Linked DNA regions of Canis lupus familiaris. The protein of the gene in region 1 interacts with the protein of each later gene in a biochemical or structural test. Links are inferred from orthologs where the notes say so. Each region holds a gene or a part of one and is shown in the gene's direction. Other genes may lie near its edges.

Region 1 (2,370 bases):
TGGAATCCGTGGGTTTCCATTACTATCTTTTACCTAAGTCTGCATTTTCCTTAATTAATAGCTTTTAAAGTGTGACTGCTGCTATTTTGTTTCCTTTTTTAATAAGATTAAATATTTATGTTTACAAATAAAAACTATTTCAATTATCAGTAAGCAGAGATATATGATGGTAAGTACTTATGAACAAAGAAAGTAGAAGTGGGATAGAGAATGACCTTGGTGTATGTTTTAGCTCAGTAGTTAAGAGAAGGTGACATTTCATCGGAGGCCTAAATGAGATGAGTGAGCTGTACAAATACCTGGGATGAGAGCTCTGAGACGGGAATAATTCTCATATGTTTGGGGAGCAGTAGATACGCAGTCGTTTTGACTAAAGCGTGGCAGTCGGAGTCTGAAGACATTGAGGTGTTTTCAGCACAGGAAGGATGTCATCTGAATTTTGTCTTTAAAATGTAGACTGGAGGGGTGCCTGGGTGGCTCAGTCCATGAAGCATCTGCCTTTGGCTCAGGTCATGATCTCAGGGTCCTGGAATCGAGCCCCACATCGGGCTCCCTGCTCAGCGGGGAGCCTGCTTCTGCTTCTCCCTCAGCCTCTCCCCCCTGCTCATGCTCGCTCTCTATCTCTCTGTCAAATAAATAAATAAATAAATAAAATATTTTTTAAAATGTGGACTGGAGAGGAAAGTTAGGGAGAGGAGGCAAGAACAGAGATGGGAGGTGAGGTAAGAAGTTGCTAGAGTGGTCTCTTCCAGACGGGAGATAGTGGTTGCTTGGACTAGCGGTGGCAGCGCTAGTGGGGCAGTGAGAAGCCATCAGAGTGGGTGGAGGTGGCATTCTACAGGTGGAACTGAAAGGATTTACTGATGGAACGGATGCTGGATGTAAGATGAGGGGAATTGATGCTGATTATTGGAAAACAGGGCAGGGGTTTCACGGCAGATCCTATCAAAACCTCACATCCACTACCTACTTGCCTTTCTGGGCCTTAGCTTCCTGTCCTCCCAGATGGAAATACCTGCCTTGTTGAGTTGTTTGACAGGTTACTCAGCACCGCCTGCAGAGGCCCTTAGATCGTTGTATGCTGTTCTTAACCTCGAGGGCTAATGAGATCCTAACCATCATTATTGCTCAGTGTTTTTATAATACTTGTATTTGTTTAGTATTATTTGTATCAGAAAATGCACAAAGATTCAGACAGGTAGTAAGTGAAACATTCTTTTGGAACTCAGCTGTTTTTCATTGAATTTTGTGTTTGAAAATACATTTTGTAAATGACTGATGAACTTCAGTCTCTGTGCATCTCTTGTGGAATTAGTTAATGCTTGCAGCTTCCGCTTATTAAAGACGAGTATGTTAACTAGTGTATGTTTTCAGTGTGTAACACGAAAACCTAGAGGAAAACTGAAGAAGAGGGTCATTGAAAAGACATTGCCTTTTCGAGATCCTGTGTGCCACAGCACTTTTAAAAACGAACCTGCTAAAAATATGTATCTTTGCCAAGTAATTTAAGATTAGTCAGATTCCTGGACTTTCCATTTAAACTTTGCCTTTTTTTCTCTAGGTGAAGCTGTACTTCACAAAAACTGTAGAGGAGCCATCAAACCCGGAGGCTAGCAGTTCAACTTCTGTGACGCCAGATGTTAGTGACAATGAACCTGATCATTATAGATATTCTGACACCACTGACTCTGACCCAGAGAATGAACCCTTTGATGAAGATCAGCACACACAAATCACAAAAGTCTGAATTTTTTTTAATCAAGAGGGATAAAACACCATGAAAACAAACTTGAATAAACTGAAATTGGACCTTTTTTTTTTAATGGCAATAGGACATTGTGTCAGATTACCAGTTATAGGAACAATTCTCTCTTCCTGACCAATCTCGTTTTGCCCTATACATCCACGGGGTTTTGACACTTGTTGTCCAGTTGAAAAAAGGTTGTGTAGCTGTGTCATGTATATACCTTTTTGTGTCAAAAGGACATTGAAAATTCAATTAGGATAAATAAAGATGGCACTTTCCCATTTTATTCCAGTTTTATAAAAAGTGGAGACAGACTGATGTGTATACGTAGGAATTTCTCATTTTGTGTTCTGTCACCAACTGAAGTGGCTAAAGAGTTTTGTGATATACAGGTTCACATCCTACCCCTTTGCACTTGTGGCAACAGATAAGTCTGCAGTTGGCTAAGAGGAGTTTCTCGAGGGTTTTGCTACATTCTAATGCATGTATTCGGGTTAGGGGAACGGAGGGAGTGCTCAGAAAGGGAGATCTGTCATGCTGAACTCTGGACCATAGACCATCTCCAGCTATTTCATGCACCTTTCTTTAGCATGCTACAGTTATTAATCTGGACATTTGAGGAA
Region 2 (4,092 bases), on another chromosome or scaffold:
GTGTGTTAGCAAAGTCACAGGATTCTGGAAGGTCAAGGTTGGCTAGTTCCTTTGAGCCGGAGGGGAAACTGGAGTTCAGAGACAGGAGGGTGGCCATACTGTGGGTCAGTGCGGGGAGCCAGGCCTGGAGGTCATACGTCTTGACCCCTAGAGCCAGTCCGGGCTCTCTGATGCTTCCGATGGCTTCTGACTCACCCAGAGTAAACTACCCTCGCTTAAGTGTGAAAAGAAAGAGGAATGAGACCTGAATAACCAAGATCCTAAACGGAGAACTGAGGAAGCAAAGCCCCCACGGCTTCCCACCTCCCCAGTCTCAGAAAATCTAGCTCACTTCCATTTCAGGCGCCTGCGGGGAGAAGGCATCTGGGGCTATAAAGATGTCCAGGGGGAGGGTGTGGTATCAGGGATACCGGGAAAGTCCGGTTCTCCAACTCCACTGGGACAAGCGACAAAGCAGTCCGTAAGAGAAAATCCCGAGGAGGAACGGGGACTGGGAACGGGATTCCTAAGACGGCAAGAGTCCCGCGGGCCGGGACACGTGACCGCCTCGGGACCAAAGATCCCGAGGCTCCCACAATGACACTAGGAGGTGACACTTGGCCCGTTGCTGCCCACTCTCCTCGCCGGTCCGGAGCTCCCCCCGCCCAAGATGCAGACCCCTGGGAAAGCAGGACGAGGGCCAACTTTACCCAAGCCCCTCACTGACAGCAGAGGCAGCCAATCAAGTGCGGCGCCTAGCCCTCTCCCCGCCCCTCGCGGGGCCCACAGCCAATCGGGCTCCAAGACGCTCTGCAAGCCTGTGGCCTGCCAGCGAGCGCCGCAGCTGTCCCTTCTCACCTCCCAAGGACGGCAGAGGAGAGCGGGTCTGAGTACCGCCTTTGGAGCGCCGCGGACGACCGCCGCCACCTTCAGCGCCATGACGGAACGTGAGAGCCGTCGCACGTCCAGACACAGAGACACCGCTCTCGCGAGAGTTCGGCAGGGTGCGAAGTGCCGGAAGCGAGCACGGACCCGGCAGTGCGCACGCGCACGGCCGCGCCGGTTCCCACGCCCCCTTCCGGCGCGGACAGCGCCGCCGCCGCCGCCGCTGCCGCCGCCGCCGCCGCCATCTTGGTGGGGCGGCCACCTGGGCCTCTGGTCTGGGGAGGGGACACGTCAGTGCCGCCAGCGGCGTCACAGGCCCGCCCGGCCCGCGGGCGCCTGATTGGCTGCCGCTGCTGCTTACGCGTCGTGCTTCCTCGTCTGTCCCTCGTGTCGAGGGGAGTCGGTCTCTTTTTTCCCTCGGCAGAGAAGAGGCGATGGCGGCGCTGGCATCCCTCGGCGCCCTGGCGCTCCTCCTGCTGTCCAGCCTCTCCTGCTGCTCAGGTAGCGGCCTGGCCGGGGCTCCTTTCTGGCGAGCCTCTTTCCCACGACTGGTGGTGCGTGGGGGAGGAGGGGTGCGGGCGAAGCAGGGTTCTGGGCCTTCTTCCTCCGAGAGGCAGGTGGCCTCGGGGCGCGGCGACCGTTTAGCCAGCGGCCAGGCTGCGGGGGAAACAGCCAGAGATTCCTTCCGTCTCCTCCCGCGAGGAAGAGCCCCAGAGCCTGCCCTGTGCGCCCGCTTCCCAGCCCCAGCAAGGAAAGTGACACATGTCCCTGTTCCCCCTCGGAGCTCCCAGTCCCGGAGGGCGGGGGTGGGGGCGGACAAGAGCAAAACTCTGCCGCGCAGTGCGATCGGAGTGAGAAACTGGGCTGGGGGGAGAGGAGCCACTTGACCCGGTGAGGTGAGACCAGGCCTCCCCAGGCAGGGAGCTGTAAAGAGAGGAAGCAGGGACGGTCCAGGCAGAGGGACCGTGAGCATGGGCAAGTTAGATAGGAGCATCAGAAGAGGGGAAAAAGGTAGAAGAGATTGGGGGTGCGGCGCTGGGGTGCCAGGCCGGACTGTTGACTTTTTCCCTGAGGTCCTGGTGTATTGGTAAGGGGCTTTTCAGCAGAGCTGAGCCACAGTCAGATCAATGAACATTCTTGAGAGATTCTTAACACCTGGTGGCACGGTTGAGCTCAAACCGGAGTCCAGAAGTGTGTTTAGGAGGAGATCCTTGCCCGAACCACTGCTAAGCCTGGGGGGTGCTTAGACTCGGTTGGGGATGCCTTCTTCACATTCACTTCACCTGCCCTGCTCAGGCCAGAGCATTTGGTGCCTGGAGTGTTTCATCAGCCTAACTGGCATTCCTGCCTGCACCCCCCTCACCTTCCCCTTGGGGATTACCCACCGTGTAGCCTGCGATGTCTGGAAAGGACAAACCTGGCTGTGAAACTCTTGGATGTTCCTCAGGGTCCATAGGGCAAAGGCCAAGCTTAGTGGAAGCCACATATGTGGCTCCAGACAATCACTCCCTACTGATGTTCCCAGGCATCTTCCTCCAGCCCAGATTCAGGAGCTTCTCTGTCTCAGCCTAATGCATGGCTCTGCCAGGACACATTCCAAGAGCAGTTGGCTGACAACTTCCCCACTGGTTAGCATCTGCTTGGCACCCTGTGTTTTAGGCAGTGCCCTTCCTAACCTGTAGCAGTTCAGTCTCCAGCAATGTGGAGGTGGCTGAGGCAGCATCCTTTCTCTCCCGGCAGCCCTGTTAAAGGGGACAAACTGGGCCCATTTCCTTCCCTTGGGAAATGCTGGGTCCAGTCTTGGCCTTCTATCACCCGTGGCTGGAGCCAGAGACCCCTTCATCTCAAGCCTGCATGCATTGCAGGCAGCACCACGCTTGCTGTCTGCGGAGGATGCCTTCAGTAAACTGACCAGGGCCATGCGTGGCTCTGAATTGAGGTCTGTCTGCCCCTCCCCTAGGGCTTCTGGGGTGTTCCAGGGCAGGCTGCAGCCCAGAGTCATCGCATGGCTTCCCTGTCCATAGGTCGAGGCATAGGCACCAGTTGTCCAGTAAATCTATCCAGCTGCTGCTGCCCCTCTCCCCAATAAACACATAATCTTTTTCTCTTTCTCTTCCCTTCCTCCCTCTCTCTCTCTCCCTTGCTCTTCTTTTGAAAATAGCCTTTCTATCTGCCCCATCTGCCTAGCCTTCCTTCAAAACTGTCTCACCCTCCCCCCACTTACTGCTGCATTTCTGACTGAGCATTTGGATCTGTTGCCCACACCCCACCTGACAGATTGCAAAGGGCCCCATGTGCCAGCTGACAAGGTCTGGGAAGTGGGTCTGGGTGGTCCCTCCTGCCCCCCAGCCCATTACCCACGAGTTGGGCCTTACGTAGGTATGTCTACCTCCCCACAGCGGAGGCCTGCGTGGAGCCCCAGATCACCCCTTCCTACTACACCACCTCGGATGCCGTCATTTCCACTGAGACTGTTTTCATCGTGGAGATCTCCCTGACGTGCAAGAACAGGGTCCAGGTGAGGCAGTGGGGGTTCAGCCAGGAGAGTGTGGGGCAAAAGGTGGGCACTGAGCCTGGGACCTGGGGCATCAATTCCTCACTGGCAGCTGGTGGGGTCAGACCCATGTGAACAGACGGAGGGTGAGGAGAGAAAGGTCAGGGCACAGCCAGGCCAGGCTGGTTTTTTTTAAGAGATTTCATTTATTTATTCATGAGAGACACAGAGAGAGAGAGAGAGGCAGAGACACAGGCAGAGGGAGAAGCAGGCTCCACGCAGGGAGCATGACATGGGACTCGATCTTGGGTCTCCAGGATCACACCCTGGGCCAAAGTTGGCGCTAAACCTCTGAGCCACGGGGGCTGCTCCAGGCCAGGCTGTTTAAAGGAGGTGTTTAGCGCTGCCTTCAGTTCAGGGTGTGATCCTGGAGACCTGGGAGCCAGTCCCACGTCAGGCTCCCTGCGTGGAGCCTGCTCCTCCCTCTGCCTGTGTCTCTGCCTCTCTCTCTCTGTGTATCTCTCATAAAAAAATAAGTAAAATCTTTAAAAAAGGGGGGGACGCGTGGGTGGCTCAGCAGTTTAGTGCCTGCCTTTGGCCCAGGGCACGATCCTGGAGTCCTGGGATCGAGTCCCACGTTGGGCTCCTGGCGTGGAGCCTGCTTCTCCCTCCTCCTGTGCCTCTGCCTCTCTCTCTCTCTCTATGTCTATCATAAAAATAAATAAATATTTTTT

What was found.
Region 2: the proteins of PTEN (region 1) and SSR4 form a complex in vitro, tested with the Homo sapiens proteins (2 studies listed by BioGRID). The link is inferred for Canis lupus familiaris from reciprocal best matches to the Homo sapiens genes PTEN and SSR4.

The regions. Positions count from the first base shown.
Region 1 is NC_049247.1:38,200,550-38,202,919, forward strand, and holds the end of PTEN (phosphatidylinositol 3,4,5-trisphosphate 3-phosphatase and dual-specificity protein phosphatase PTEN), read left to right. Parts: intron 1-1,561; coding exon 1,562-1,747; 3' UTR 1,748-1,823; downstream 1,824-2,370. UniProt on the Homo sapiens protein: Dual-specificity protein phosphatase, dephosphorylating tyrosine-, serine- and threonine-phosphorylated proteins.
Region 2 is NC_049260.1:122,795,643-122,799,734, forward strand, and holds the start of SSR4 (translocon-associated protein subunit delta precursor), read left to right. Parts: upstream 1-1,237; 5' UTR 1,238-1,298; coding exon 1,299-1,365; intron 1,366-3,263; coding exon 3,264-3,382; intron 3,383-4,092. Other genes in the region: IDH3G (isocitrate dehydrogenase [NAD] subunit gamma, mitochondrial), read right to left, coding at 838-918. UniProt on the Homo sapiens protein: TRAP proteins are part of a complex whose function is to bind calcium to the ER membrane and thereby regulate the retention of ER resident proteins.